2 linked regions of the Styela clava genome follow. The main gene of each other region encodes a partner of the protein of the gene in region 2 in a complex. Links are inferred from orthologs where the notes say so. Each region holds a gene or a part of one and is shown on either strand. Other genes may lie near its edges.

Region 1 (7,926 bases), on a different chromosome or scaffold from region 2:
CACCAATGGCATCCCTGTTTACCATTCTAGTGGTATTTATAGTAGATTCCAAATACCATTGTGTTCAAACAATTCATGCCCAACAAAGTAAAAACATCAGCTGTGAAATACCCTTTATCAAGCAATCAAAAGAAAAATTAGTCTTGCATCGTGGGCATTGTGGCCTCCCTCCGACTGCCCTGCATGGGCCCCAGGTTGTGAATAGCTGCTATACATCCAAAGCTGGCTAGTACACTTTATCGATCCTCAAAGACTAAATATTTCTCTGCCATTGCTAATGTACATCACCCTAGTTTTTCATGAAATAAATCATAACTCACCCTCTTTTCCCATTCAAAAGGTTGCGTGTTTATGGAAGACTTTTCCCCATGAGCATCATATTGTGCATATTCTTCATTTCTGTCATGTCTTGCTGGATAGTCTTTAGCCTGGGAAGACATATTGAATAGTTTGCAAGTTCAAAATCATGTATTTGTAGGAATGAATCCTCAACATTCGATCAATGAAATGTCAGTTTATCAATACAACAGATATCAGACATATAATTCAACAATTGTTTAACAACATAAAATTTGAAATTGTAGTAGGATTTGTTAGAAATTGTAAATTCTTGGGTGCTTAAAACTAAAATTGTTTTCTTGAAACATTGACTAATCTCCAGTAATATAACACTTTAATTATATTATATATAAATTATTGAACAAGATATTACTGTTAATTTTTAGCAAATAATACCCAAGCCAATGGCTCTCTTTTTCTTAGTTCGCCATGATTGTGAATCAAAAGCAAAATTAAGCAAGTTTCCAACATACTTCATGTCCAATATCAATTTGATCTAGATCGCTGTCATCACCAGCACCGTTATGCGGACTCCGTACTAAAGTTTTTTCTTTATCATCTTTCAGTGATCGAAGTTGTAAGTAATAATAAACGACTGACACAGCTACCATCAGAAGTAAAATTCGAACAAGATTTTTGGCCCTGAGCCTCATTATATATTATGGTATTTATTTATTTCATATACAATGACTAGCAAAATATTAAAGGTAGTGATTTGTTATTTTTGGCATCAAAGCAAAAGAAATTTCATATTTTCAGTTTAGGCTACAGCAAAGAACACACACATAGGAAACTAACACTAATTCACACAGCAACAAAACACAACAATAAATCGTAAACGTGTCGAGAGAACAACAATTTCCAAAGTGATTTGGCTATTCTAAGATTTCTCAAGTGGGGAGGAATTTATATTTTTTTTTCTGAGATTTTTGGTCTTGATGGGGTATTCCCAAACTTCAGCTTGCCAGTCAATATCTGGAGGTTACCCCAGACATCAGAAAGCCGTTTATATCTATAGTGGCCTAGTTGTTACCTATTGTACTTAAAAGACAAAGGACAAGTGTACTTAAAAACAATCAAGATTACAGTATAAAAATATATGAATAATCCAATTCATAAAAAAAACCACCTATTTTTGTTATTACATAAAAAGTACATAGGCAATCAACAACAAAAACCTATGAGACACCCTCATCAAAATGACTTGGAATTCAAGAATTTCCCTTTTTGTTAAATTTCAATTTCAAATAATCGAAATTGGGATATCCAAAAATCATATTGAACACTTAAAAATAAAAAATTTTGGTCATGCTTACACAACGCTCGGATTTTTTTTCATTTTCAAACCAAATGATTTTATGAATTTATATTTTGCATTACCTGTTAGAGAACATTTAACTTTTTCAGGGAAAACATCTATGTTGTACTAAGCAAACAAGAGTATGAAATTGAAAATCAGCACCATTATAAAGCCTTAATTAACCTCAGTTTTTGCATAGCTATGCAATTTTGTACCTGCATACACACTCTTTCCATAATTTATCAGTGGGTATTCCAAAATACAAAAAATTTGAATATCAACAGACAACAGTGGAGAATATCAAAATTCTGAATGCTGATTTTTTGGATGAGATAATCTCATGCATCCTTTATCACGTTTAACGCGATATTGTAGAAGTTTGCCATATTTTTTCAGAAGCTGCTTCCAGTAACACTTCACTTCCGACATTGTTAAGTATTGTTCAATAAATTCACGTCCTCTTGTAGCAATATTTTTAACAACTTGATCATTTTCTTTGGCAAATTTTAGTAATTGTTCTACAGCATTCAAATTGTCTTGGACAGGAATATAATGAACCCATGGTTTCAAAGCTGGATAAAAAAATTCAATCCAATCACTTCCCACATGGTATACAAGGGAATCACACAAGAATAAATGCTTTAATCGGAAACTCGCAGCAACACCTCGAAAATTGAAAAGATATTTATATTTACAATGTTCGAGTAGATGGACTGGCTCCGCAGGTTCTGCTCCCAATGTATCTTTATCAGATTTCCAAGCTTGATTTTTTGTATATTGAGCATCCACTAAATCTGGCTTTGATCGAGACAGTAAAATCAATGGATCCCTCATCGCTGAGGTTCTAGACCCACGAAAATATCCCTTATTTTCTTTGCGATTCCAAGGCCATTCATTTGACTTTGCTTTTAAAGACTTCATCATTTCATCCCAGCGACCTAGCCCTGTCGGATATATTGGCCAAACAGCTGGACCGCCCTCCCAAAAGGTCCATGCTGGATACATGATGTCAATATGCTGTGAAACAACTTTACTAAATGAAAACACAGGTCGAGGATCAAGGTCTCGTTTGTTTGTTTGAGGCCAATCTCTTACATTAATAATCATCTCCATATCAGGAAGATCGTCAAGAAGTTGTGTTATAAAATGTTCAATTCCAGAACATCTTGATGGAAACATGCATTTTTCTTCTCGATAAAGAATATTATCAATGATTTGATAATGAACTCCATACTTCTTAGCTCGTTCAAAATCCTCTTCTTTAATTCCACCCCTGTTTTGCCATATTTTCAAATCATTATCTATAACATTTGAATGGCAGGTGCAGTTGCCTTCACATGGTTTATAATTTTCCATTGCATTCTTGATGGAATCAAGATATTTTGACCAATCTTCAGAATCTTTGGTCAAGCATAGATTGTGTAACATAATAAAAATGCATAGACATGGTATAATCCAAGTTTTTCTTGCCATGTTGGTTACAGCATACAGACACCACCAAGTTACCAGAATCTACCAAAACCTAATTTACACACTAATACATTAGGATAATATAGCACACTTCCTAATACATTCTCTGCATAAATATTGTTAGTTAGATCTTGCAGTCCCAGTAAAAATTTAAATGAAAATAGCCAATTTTCCAGCTTGAAGAAAGTTTGAACTGTACGATCCTGTTCCGATTGCAATCACAAATGGGCACTGTAAGCAAAAAGTTACAGTGAATTTTCTGTAGAGTCACTGGGCGAATAATTCTTCAGAATAAATCTGATTACCTAATAGTATAATATTTAGCCATTTGTGTTCAATAGAATAGTATTATTCAGAACAACATTATTCATCACAACATCAACCCAGCTTGGTAACAAGGGCAAGCACATTTTATTTTTATTTGAACTCTGTCAGCATGAACAAATATTTAAAACAAATATTTTTTTTCAAATCAACATACTGTTGAGTGAATACCTATTTCTTTTTGCACAACTCTAGCAACAACAGCATTCTGGCATTTGGTTTAATTTCACTCAGCAGTCATTTTTATATCTTTTTAAGTAACACGTAAGTATATTTTCAAAAGTATATTTTCAAAGGTATATTTTTGAAATTTTCAGTCAAAAAAAAATAACCTTTTCTTTACCGGTCTTACTACTTACTGAATACAGCGCGAAACACCGCAAAGAGCGCGAAACAGCGCAAAAGAGCGCGAAACAGCGCAAAATAGCGCGAAACAACGCAAAACAGAGGGAAACAGCGCAAAATGGTGGGGAAACAGCGCAAAAGAGCGCGAAAGAGCGCAAAACAGAGGGAAACAGTGTGAAGCAGAAAAAAATTTTGCAATGAGTTCGGGGCACCTTGTTTTGAGTTGGATTACCACGGCAGCAAATTAAAAACACAAACCAACGTATGTAGCCAGTAATGCTGTAATGGCAGGTCTGCCCCTGCTGGTGACACATTTTGGGTACCATAATTTAGAACATTTTCCATGTGGATATGGTTGGCTTTAGGGTTAGGGTTAGGTAAAAAGGGACCTCCAGAAGTATGTGCACCAAGATGGCGCACAACCTGAAAATAGTATGTGTGTGTGTGTGTGTAGCGGATTCAGGTTGTGCGACATATTGCTGCACATACTTCTGGAGCACCAAAAAGGTAGATAAAATTTCGCATGATGACCTATAATCCGGTACATAACCTTGTAAATATACCGGAAATCATGCCATAAAACCATGGCGAGAGGCGCCGTGGTTCTTTCGTGGCAGGAGGTGGTAATAACTGCGTCTCCTGTTTTGCGCTGTTTCCCTCTGTTTTGCGCTGGTTTCCTTTTGTTTCGCGCTGTTTTCCTCTGTTTTGCGCTGTTTCGCGCTCTTTTGCGCTGTTTCGCGCTGTTTTGCGGTGTTTCGCGCTGTATTCAGTAAGTAGTAAGACCCTTTCTTTACTCCATTTACATTTATCTGGAATGAGAATGTTGTTGAACTAATGAAATCTCATTCTGTCATTGTGGCGCAACTGTGCTTTGGTAGTAAAAACTCTTGTAAATTATTCATAAGGAAAGAACTACTTTAATTGAATATTCATCAGTGGCCGCAATATTCAAGACTTGGAATTCTCCTCATTTGCTGACCTCCAAAATATCAAAGATGCTCAAAACTGAAATGTATTTTTTCACAAAGCAATTGGAAAGATTACAGTAATAAAATATACCAACATATTCAATCAGCTTGGATGAGATATAAGATCTCAAAAGCAGTTGATGAAACCTTAAATCAATAGAAAAACAGTTCTCCAATTGCAAAATGTAGTGACGTTTGGTTCAATAAAACAAACACCGTATTTTTCTCTGAAATGAGGGCCTCTGGCACGCCATCAAATGCGCCAGATCATGTCAAGCGTGTTTCAGTAATAATTTAAATCATTGGTGACTGCGTTGGCCTGCAGATTATCAAGATTGCGTTCTTTTTCTTAAAAACCCTTGAATGCTACAGTAATTTTTTTTTTCTTTGGTAAATAAGGATTAAATTTTTTCTAAGGAATCTAATGGTGACATTTTCAGAATGTGCTTACATTTTATTTTATTGCGCAGTACCCTATTAGCAGACACACAGCTGCACGGGTCAAAGCAAACCATGTCTAACTACAGACAGAATTCAGACATATCTCTGTATTTCACTGTAATTCCTGGATCCAAATAATGAATTTTTTTCCTATCTGACTGTCGATGCTGAAATGCATATAGATAGACAAGTGACAGTTCCATTGGATGTAAAAAATGAGTGAAATAAATTGCATTGCAAGGTAACTTACATCTATATACAGGTAAGTTAAGTCTGTAAGTGGATGTCGCTGAATCAGTCATCGAGAATGTGATATAATGCGAGTTATCCCTAAACGTATGAGTAAATATATAGGCTACCTGTTTCAGCTTTTTCTAACTTAATAAAGGGTACCGGTACTGATTTACACGTGTCACAAACATAAAATAACGTTGCAAATGCAGGGTTCGTACAGTAATTTGACCCTTGTGTGTAGCACGTCACAATAGAAAATCAACCGAGCGTGAACAATGAGAAATTTTTATTGCTTTTTTTGCCAGTGCCGAACCACAACAAAGCAGTGGTGCGTATCATTACCTATGGAAGTGCTTCCCAACTAGGGGTAACTACCCCAAGAGGTATAATTTGGCCATTTTTAGGTTGAAATTTAGCTAGACGTTCACTGTTTTATCAATTTCTTTTATAATAGAATTTACATATTTATCCCGGGGGAAAGGAAAGCCGACAAGACGGCTTATTCATATGGCGAACCACGGCCTCTCGTCCGGTTACCATTCCATGTCGGGTTTGGGATTAGTTAGCTACTTGTTTTTCGGAAGCATGGACTTGACGGTGGAGGAAGCCGTAACCAACCAGCGGTTACGTAAACCACCCTACGGCGGCGAGGAGTCCAGCAATCCTCTCGCACACAACCATTCCGCATGGGATTCGAACCTGCGAACCCTCGCAGAGTAATTAGTGATGCGGTGGCGAGCGTATTCCTAACGCTTATCACGATGAGCCGCGCCGCACCGGAATGCAGGAGAGAAGTGAAGAACGAACTATTGCGTGATTGGGATGCCATTCCCGAAAATTTTCTTGTCTTCTCTGTTCTCAGATATGAACTTTATTAAGTTTCGTAACAGGAGTAGCCTGGAAGATGAAACCAGTAGTTTGTGTATATCTTTGAAAGTTACAAAATATAATTCCAATGTAAAATCTCTATCAGCGGCAATGCAGCAGAAGAAGTCTCACTGATATAGAATAAGAAAAGTAATCAAATATATTTGTCTGTCTGAGAATTTGTCTGTACATGTTTAAAAGGTTTATTATTGTGTATTTTTGTATTGAAAATAGCAAAGCATTGTTTTTAATTTTGGTCGGCACGCGGAAGAATTTTGTGGGTAAATTTAGTCGATTTTAGCACGCGAGCCGAAAAAGGTTGCCCATCCCTGGCCTAGGATAAATATAAAAATTCTAGAAAGGGTTGCTTGTAAGTACTCGGCAGTCTCACTATGAAATTCTCCGTGCACTTGACCGTAGCATTGTCGTTTTATCTTTGCTTCGGTGGTCGCTGTCGATCTAGATTCTAGGTCGTGACTTCACAGACATACTTGAAACGGTTGAGATTTCCATATTTAGTCGGAAATCCCCTGGTACTGCTGCAGTATATATGATTCACCCCAAGGGTTTCATCCGAGGTTTACCCAGTAATTTAATTTCAGTATCACGTATTATAGTAGTTTTAAATATGATGTATTATAGTAGATTTCAGTATTGGATGAGGTAAGTTTCTAGAAAAAAAAATTCCATACACAACATATGACAATGCCAGAATAAAAACATTCAAATTATAATTTATTGTAGTTAGTTGGATCATGTCATTGTTTGTATTTTTCCTAAAGAAAGCCTGTCTACATGCAACTCTGGTATTCATTCAACAGCGTTTCGCTGTGAGCGACACAGAATTTTCGTCGTGAATTGCTTTAATTTACTGTTGGGGATTTTAGTTTGATGCGGTTTTTCATTTTCAAGCATGCATTCTGTAAGCATGCATTTTGTGTTGTACTTTGTGGAGTTCTAAAAGTTTGATTGTCAGGACACAGTTTTTATTGAGAACCAGGCTTTGGCAGTTAACCCTTAAATATATATCGGAGCACCGATGGATTCCCAGCCCCGCGACCTGCAAAATATGCATTTTTTAAACTGAACATTTTTTGGCGATTCATTCAATATTTAGGGTGAGGCCCTACGGGCATAACTGAAGATTTTGAAGGGGAGGGGTCTGAAATTTTTAATTGACAAGTTAGACCAAAACACCTAGCAGATCTGATCGGAAGCCGGCAAATGTTAGTTTATAATAGTCCCGATGGTCAACTCTAAAAAGTGTTTCAAGCCACAAATATTTATATGTATGATATAGTAGAACAATTTAGAAGACTTTTATTTTACACTTAAAGGGGGGTCTGACAGATGTTTGGTCTAATATGGTATATCACATGTTGAAGGTACCAGTAATTGGAGCCCTTCATACGCTGGAGAAGCAATGAAATGTTTTTTTTTTAAATATGACTACAAAGTGCGTTGCATGTAGCTGTATAGCATTTATTTTGTTAAAAAATCCTTGAGCTAATCACCTGTTGTAGACTTTGTTGTTTTTTAAATATGACTACAAAGTGTGTTGCATGTAGCTGTATAGCATTTATTTTGTTAAAAAATCCTTGAGCTAATCACCTGTTGTAGACTTTCAGTGTGTAAAAT
Region 2 (8,659 bases):
ATTATAGGTTATCTTTTACTACATAACTACATAAGTTACCCAGGAGAATGGTACAGGGTGACGTCAAAAGAGAACCCATGTCATTTGGAATATATTCTAGAGAGAACTTAACTTTTGTGCTAAGTGTTACTGAAACTTTTGGATACAATCATATACAAACATAAGTTTATGAGTTAAATGTATTTCCTTCAAAAGTGATCAAGAAATTTGTGGGTTCAGTTTTTTTTGAGTCACCCAGTACATCAATAATTTTGCCTGTATGGAGTAGATGAAAATCAAAGTTTGAAACTGAAAATCTATAATACATTAAGTCAGTCATCCTTGAAAGGAACAATGATAAAAGACACCTACTCTTAATTTTAAATAACAATAAACGATAACGAGGCACAAATTATAAGTGGCACTTGGAACTATAGTCGTTAAATTCTCACAAGCGAAAGATGATGCGCTCATAAAAAGAGTAACAATAATTTTGCATGAGGGGGAGACAATAAACAAATTACATAAAATTTATAAAGTAATAAATTCATCATTACAAATTAATAAAATGTTCCGCTTGACTAAGCAATTTAGGTTAAGAGTTATACATAATAGAAGCTGAAGGAATTCACCTTGTTGGTCAATTAAAATACAATTGTCTACTTGTTCCCCAACGTAACACCATTATACTTAGATATTTTATTTTATGTTAAAGACTTTTGCTTCTGGCGATTAAAAATTCCTGAAGTATCATATAATTAAGTACCCGAAGTAATTTGATAATTACATTTAATTGAATGATCACGGAAGTTGAAGCAAAACAAGCGCAAATCAGTTGATTCGAACAATAAAGAGTTTCGTAAGCGGGAGCTACGTTTCACAAATGTCTATATATGTCTGGTGTCCATATATGTCTTAAACTTTGTTTAAAATACTGTTCATTTTGCGGATAAACAGTCTATTACAAATTAAAAATATAGTTTTTTAAATAATCCTATCAATAATCAATCAAATATTGGCATGGTATTGTCGGAATTTATGAGGGTGAGCTGTCACATAATGATGAAAATATTCTAGAATATGATTTCTTTAAGATATGTGCCATAACTCATGTTGATGATGCTACTATCCTGATTCATGAAAATCAGGGTTTTTTAAATATCATTATTTTTTTTAAACAACGAACGAACTAGTTGAAGACTTCGTACCAAGTTTCACCAGCTTGATAAAATCAAAAGCTTTAAGCTGCTAAACAATTTAATAGTATAGTACACAATCTAATTTTAGTTTTTGATGCTCATATTACCCCAGTTTAACCACTGTACATTTAAACTCTTGCTTACATAAGTGACACAGTATGCATCACCCCTATTACTAGTAAAAAAACGGTCACTGCATCATACATGTAGGGATATGATATAGTGTGCATCATTGACTCAGTATCGAAAAATATAATTTCCAGGTGAACGGAAATTTTATTTCTGTAAATAAACTGTGAATTACTGCCTCCGATGGTTACATTGCTGGATTTTTCATAGTGTAAGCTATATGGAAAATTATGATAACAGCCTTAGTATCCAAGGTACAAAGATAGAATTAACAATGTCTATTATTGAGTAATATAATGAATCGGCATACCGCACATAGGTTAGGATTGTCAGAACATTCATCTTTATCATTGGCACACGTGTCACCATAATAGCCATCCGTGCAAGTGCATTCAAAACTGTTTGACACGACAGTACAAGTTCCGTGATTGCATGGGTTTGAATGACAGTAATTGTAATCACTGCATGTGGTCCCTAAAGAAAACACAGAATAAATTTCATTATAGAATTCGCCAGAAATGATTACAAACAATCAGTAAATAATAATGTTCCATATAAGGAACTGGCACACTCTAATAGATGCCTTAAAATAGTTCAGATTAGAAAATCATGACCGACTGATGTGAAAAAAATGAATACGGTAAATTTTGATGGCACATCAATAAAGTGGTAATAACTTTAAATCTTTCAAAACTCTCAAATATGCTTACCCATATATGTAGATGGGCAAGAACATTGCCATGTATAGTCAGTGGAAGATGTTGCTACTACGCCACACGTTCCGCTATTATCACAAGGTGATGAAGCACATGGAGATACACTATAAAAGAAATAATGTGATAGTTTTATGAATAAAATTCATTCATATTAAATAATTTAAGAAAAAAATAAAATCAGCCTAAATGCCTAAAAATGAGTAAAATCCTCAAAGTTCAGGGTCTTTTTCAAAATATACTATAAATTCTTAAAATAGAAGTTTCGAAAACAATTTTATTTGTACCGTTAATTGTTTTATAAAAAATACAAAGTCGGATAAATAGTATAAATTAGGCATATTCAGAATAAATATAAAACTGAATATTGCAAATTAATTGGTGTAATACATGCACAACCTATAACTAGACGCAATCAGGATGTAATTAAATGGTCTATACATATCCTGTTAACATAAAATTGATATTCAACATTAATAGATATACAATAACGTGATAATCATTTAAATGAAAACCAGCTATTTTATGTATTTGAAACATACGGATACAAATTGTTGATTTCTTCAAATAAACAGAGACGAAAAATTTCCCATAATTATGTTTGAACACAATAGCACATACGAAATTTTTCCCACAAAACTCAATGCAATAAATAGATGAAAATGAACGTAGCAAACATTACCTGCAAACTGAACTTATACATATTTGGCCACTTGTGCAATCCGCATTAGATGAACAACCAGATGCTAAAAAATGAAACATATAATTAACATATTCCAAGCACATTTTTATTTAACTTCATTATTCTCGCTAAAATATAAAACAGCGTCAATACACATAAATTTTCTCAAAAATATGACCAAGGAAGAAATCACATATATCAAGCAATATTTAATCTCCTATTTTATTTCGGTGAAATATTGTGAAGAATGCTCCTATACAGCTCAACTGTACTCATGTGAGAATTTTCATTCCACAATTGACTTTTTTAGATAAATATCTGACTAAAACAATCTACAACACTGTATGAAACAATAGAATAAATAACATACCGTAAACAAATAAAAATGGAAGAAAAATTGCCGCTTGAAAAATAATCCGAAATTGAGGTAAATCCATTTTTTGTTGAAGTTAAATCCACTTCCTCGACATACGATACAATATGTATGTCACAAGAGTAAAATATGATAAAACCTTATTAAATAAATTAACTTGATCTCTTTATTGCTGATTACATTCCTTCTTTTATTTCAGTGGATAAGGAATTAACTGAACTATCATCTGTAAAATATTGAATACATTATATCAAAAACAGCCTACTACCCCCAAGACGTTCAAATAAACCAGTGCTTCCCAATATTTTTCGTTCAATTTCTTTCTTCAACTTATTTGGAACTCTATGTTCCTCTCTCCCTACACATAAAAAAACTGTATTCATATATCGATTTTTAGCTAGTGTTATGCACAAGAGAAGTGCTACAGTAAGGATAAAGAACTAAACAATACTTGTAAGACTACAGCATATATAAAGCAAAATTCCTCCTCGAGTGACAATATTTCTCCTTGGTAAGGAATCCCTCCCAAGTTGGGAAATATGGCAGTGTTGTAACTCAGACTAATCTGTCTTGCTTCTATAGCTCAAAATGCTTAACTAGAAATATCAAGCTAGCAGTTTAAAAGCATAATGATTATTAAAACAGTTCCCACATTCTATAATATATTATTATACAGTTATGGCACTAATCTTTCAGTGACATTATTGCATCCATAAGATTAATAAGAGATTAACCTAAAAATCAATACATGAATCAAGTAGTATTGAGTGTGAGATTTTCTCCCTTGTGGGGCTCCAAAATGAAGAGATGAATTTGGTTGAGCTGTTAATCCGAAGATATAAAAATCATATTATTGTTTACTTTATTTGAGAATATCCATAATTAAATATTTTGATAAGGTATTTTAGTTTTTTTTTTTATTTATTTGGAGGTGTTCAATTCAAAATTAACATCTTCTTGTTTAAATTCTTAATAATGCAGTAATACATCCAACTCCAATAGACACAATAGAAATTCCTTAGTTCTTTACTACACTGCTTACAACAGTACAATGGTTAGTATTTTTCATCTAATTATTAATTTAATATTTTGAAATTTTTAATTATTTATGAGTAAGCTTATTTCAGTATTCACTGACTGCATGCTTTTAAGGATAGGATAGGATAGGATAGGATTTACATATTTATCCCGGGGGAGAGGAAAGCCGATAAGACGGCTTATCCATATGGCGAACCACGGCCTCTCGTCCGGTTACCATTCCAAGTCGGGTATGGGATTAGTTTTTACTGTATTGTTTGTCTTCGGAAGCATGGACTTGGTGGTGGAGGAAGCCGTAACCGACCAGCGGTTACGTGAACCACCCAACGACGGCGAGGAGTCCAGCAATCCTCTCGCACATAACCATCCCTACATGGGATTCGAACCTGCGAACCCACGCAGAGTAATTAGAGGTGCGGTGGCGAGCGTATTCCTAACGCTTAGCCCGTTGAGCCACACCGCCGCCTTGCTAAAAGATTTTTGGTAAATATACAGAAAATACCATACAAAAAAGTTTGAAATTAGACAAAAATTTTAGTTTGTTCTATACTACTTCACTAGAATTATACGGTACAAAGACTACTATCAGACTATAGACGTTTATAACAGTAGTTTGAAATACTCGCATACCAGCATACAGATTTATAGTATGGTACTCAAACTCTAAAATAATGTCTTATGTATGTTGTCGTAAATGACAAAAAGTACAGTCAGTCAATACAACATACCGGTACCGGTACCAGAACAGACATAAGACTATTATTTGGTCTCTACTTTCCTTCTTACTGTCTTATGGTGATCGTGAAAATTTCAGATTCAGAAAATTATATTTCAGAATTTTGCATATGATTAACAACAGTTAAAGATATTCAGCTTATTAACTGACACGCTGACAAAGAGGTATTATTAATCCTGTCTAAAACCGGTTCCCTAGAAACTGCATTACCGTACTGCTGTACTGAATTACGGTACCGGTCTGCCGGTACCTGGGTACCTCCTAGTTTTGAGCCTATCACTTAAACTTGTCGTGTGTAAGCAAATACTGGAATATCGCTGCATTGACAATTGCATATTTGCGACAAATATCCCGCTGGTTGCTTGGCTAGTACTTCCTTGCAATAGATAGAAAACAGCTATCAAGTTCCCGTCGCGTCTGGGTTTCTTTATTTACAGATTTACGACAGTCTGCAGGAAATCACGACAGGCAAGCTCCAGTCCAGCAGCGACAGTCGCCAATGGTGCATGGAGTAATAATCTCATACATTTTTGAATATGAATGAGTAGAATGTTAACATCAATTAATCAAAACATTTTTATCTGATAGTTAGCAGATTTTATTGAATATTATGAGTTGGCTCAACTAATAATTATTACTTGGGCGCATGGTGATTTGGATAGTCATTGGTCAGTGTCTGCTTCGTGCAACACCAAATGCTATGTATGCATCTTGACAGGTAAGCGCAAAGTGAACGGAAAGAACTGGTTTATTAATTTATCAATTCGATAATCATATTTCCTCACCTCGAATGAAAAACGAATATTTTTTTTCTATAATTTACTGCTAAAAATTTGCAATAATCAACGACACTAAGAACTACATGTAGATCGCTATTCATGAATATTTTTTAGATCGGCCAATAGGTTCGAAACAGTCGCTGGATGCACAAGCACATAGAGAGACCAGCGACTGACATAGCGGCAGTAGTGCACGAAACGAGTGGTGGGCATAATTCAATCCATCTATTTTATCAACTTTTTATGCTACTGTCGCAGATTCCACAACAATATGTGTCCAGTGTTTGTCGTATTGATATACCACTGACATTACTCAATGTTTTACAATCAACTGAAATCGTAATATCTATATATAGGATGTTTCCCCGACCCGTGACCCCAGAAAAATTCTCCCCATACTTTGCTATTGCAACATTTTGGTTGCTTATTGAAAAGTTGGCACTTACAAACTTAGTTACATGATCAAAAACCATCATATTTTTTTCAAAATATACAACCAGTTGCCGCTAAGAGGTACTGATAGCTTACTTTACTTTGAGCATAGTCTATCGCAGCTTTTCTGGGACTGATTTTTGATTACTGCAACTAAACTAAAGCTCATCGGGAGACATATTGACAATTAAATTACTTCATTTACAACTAATTTTTAGAAACACAACTGAAATCTGACAAATAACACGCAAAACCACGAAAACGAGGTAATGTTTACAACCGAACAGGGCGTCTGTAAAAAAATTACCATTGTTACGTCATCGTTTACTTTTTTGCTGATTGGTCATTGTTACAGAAATAAACAAGGCAATCGATGATCGGGGAAACATCCATAGCAAGGATTTAAATTACGAACTTTTTAATTAGAAAAAAGGGGAATTTGCGTCATTTGCTCATAGATAGTGCGCAGTTTTGATCTTTACACAAACAGCACTTTTTTCAGGACTGTGACGATTACAGATACTCGATTTTATGCAACTTATGTTAGTGTGTGAAAACACGGGTTCGCGTGTATAAGTATAAACAAAGACGTAAACAATGCTGGGTAAAAACTTCTCCTACATTCGAAAGAGTTTGAAAGAAAATTCTACTATCGTCTTCGATCTACTCTCAACCGAAGTAAAGTCACCACCATCCCGCTCCATCTTCATTTCAGATTTCTAATTCAAGTCAACAAAATTATGTTTTCCAAACGACACTGAATGCCAAAGAAGAATGAACGGCAAAGGAACATGAGTATGGCTCTCGGATACTTCCAGAACCATTGCACCTCTAAAATGTAACTGCTGTAATAAACAGAAACAATCTCCTCAAAACCATGCCAATTTGTGAAAGTTACAAAAGTTATCAGATCCATTGTATGCTATAAGATTTGTGAAGGCACTGTTGGCAGTTGGTAACGATGTAGCCTACTATACTCAGCTTACTGTTGAAATTTTAAGTCCAGTATGTTTTTTGCATTAATTCGTAAAAACATGATGGGTCATGCTTTGTGACCCGAGAGTCAGCAGTTCCCCATTGAATAGTATTGTATATATATAATTGTAGAAGTATTTCCGTACATCGAGGATTGACTCTAAACTCGCATGACAGATTTATTTTTCTGGTGAATCTCTGACTGAGAGTATTTCGCAAATGTATGAAAACAACCACAATGTGTAAGACATGAGCATTTAGCACCCGGTGAATGCTAGATAAATATAGACTGCATAAAAAAGAAACATATAAAATGGCATAAATGATTTTCCATGACACACTTCATATATACATGTATATATATATAACAAGTTGCATTTAAGAAGTTTGTCCAATTAAAAAAGTTTGACCTTGTATATTTCTTAGCCTTAACAGTTGATCATCATCATAGGTTCATTACTTTAAATCGGTTTATAGTATTGAAGATGTTACTCAAATCTTTATTAAACCTGTGGATTTATATGTATATATGCTTAATTTATAGGCCAGCTTAGCGCAAATAACCAAACAAGTAAAAGAACAAATACAAAAGTACCCTGAACTGCGTCAATTTAATTTCAGCGCTGTTATAATGTTGACACCTAAATATTATTTTCATGAGACTGACTGAACAGTTTTAATGTTTTTAATGAAAGCAAACCTGAAAGAGTATTATTTATACATATGAGTAGGCGCGCACCGGAGAATTGTTGTGTATGTGGACATTTTGAACAATCAAACCTATGTGAAAGTGCGGATTGGCCCTTTCTGATCTAGGTATTTACGACAGCCAAAGTAGGCTACTTGGAAAAACGAGCTGTCGGTTTTAGCAACTTAGAGATTGGAAGTTAGACAGATCTGTCGCACAGGTGTAGTGTTTCTTGTTTTCTTTTACGCTAAGAATCACCATTTATATTTATGGCTAATTTGAGTTGAGTTACAACGTATCTCAGTTACTAACTTCATTCGTTAGAATCGCTTCACTCAAAAAAAAATCTCTGTGCAGGACAATATATTTGATGTCCATTTGTTTGACAGAATGTATTTCATTGATACAGATGCACGCTGTAGTTTCAGATTTTGTAGAAGGGAATACATTACCTGGAAGGTCTGTCTAAATTTATTGAAAATATTAATTTATTTTTCATCGAGGAGCGTAGGTTTATCTATAACTGACTTTGTGGGCAGTCATCCACATCGCGTAAAATACGACTTGAATATACAGTACAAAGAAGGATAGAAAGCTATTTTCGTAAAATAAATGTAAATAGCGAATATTTTTATAACACATTATATTGAAAATGAGTATCGACGGTAATTCATCAAAATCGAATTACAAAAATACAAGAAATAGAGCTCTTCGATTGAATTGCTTGATGGAACAGGAATTAAGGAATATTGACATCACAAAGAAATCGAACATGATTTACGTGGAAAGTGAAATCAGGTGAATATGGTTAGGGGTTTTTTCAAATAATCTAAAAACGTACAACCGACCATTGATTTCCCATTCGCGTCCCATTGAAACAATCATCAGGTTCTGTTCTCATACGTTAATAGGGAAACTTTTTCCTTGATTTCAGAT

Evidence for each region.
Region 1: the proteins of uncharacterized protein LOC120345158 (region 2) and protein O-glucosyltransferase 1-like are in contact, whole or in part, in a crystal structure (PDB 5UB5), measured with the Homo sapiens proteins. The link is inferred for Styela clava from reciprocal best matches to the Homo sapiens genes NOTCH1 and POGLUT1. Residues at the interface, in NP_060087.3 of Homo sapiens: Asn454, Glu455, Cys456, Val457, Asn459, Pro460, Cys461, Gln462, Asn463, Asp464, Ala465, Cys467, Gly472, Glu473, Phe474, Val485, His486; in NP_689518.1 of Homo sapiens: Met103, Phe104, Pro105, Ser106, Arg107, Asp133, Gly170, Pro171, Ala172, Val173, Trp174, Pro178, Thr179, Gly180, Thr214, Asn239, Gln240, Ala241, Val274.

The regions. Positions count from the first base shown.
Region 1 is NC_135261.1:8,666,660-8,674,585, reverse strand, and holds protein O-glucosyltransferase 1-like, read right to left. Parts: upstream 3,413-7,926; 5' UTR 3,113-3,412; coding exon 1,940-3,112; 3' UTR 1,030-1,939; downstream 1-1,029. Other genes in the region: polypeptide N-acetylgalactosaminyltransferase-like 6, read right to left, coding at 321-428, 813-992. UniProt on the Homo sapiens protein: Dual specificity glycosyltransferase that catalyzes the transfer of glucose and xylose from UDP-glucose and UDP-xylose, respectively, to a serine residue found in the consensus sequence of C-X-S-X-P-C.
Region 2 is NC_135254.1:15,458,030-15,466,688, reverse strand, and holds the start of uncharacterized protein LOC120345158, read right to left. Parts: upstream 3,317-8,659; 5' UTR 3,140-3,316; coding exon 3,073-3,139; intron 2,767-3,072; coding exon 2,703-2,766; intron 2,128-2,702; coding exon 2,018-2,127; intron 1,782-2,017; coding exon 1,618-1,781; intron 1-1,617. Other genes in the region: uncharacterized protein LOC120344620, read left to right, coding at 8,376-8,521. UniProt on the Homo sapiens protein: Functions as a receptor for membrane-bound ligands Jagged-1 (JAG1), Jagged-2 (JAG2) and Delta-1 (DLL1) to regulate cell-fate determination.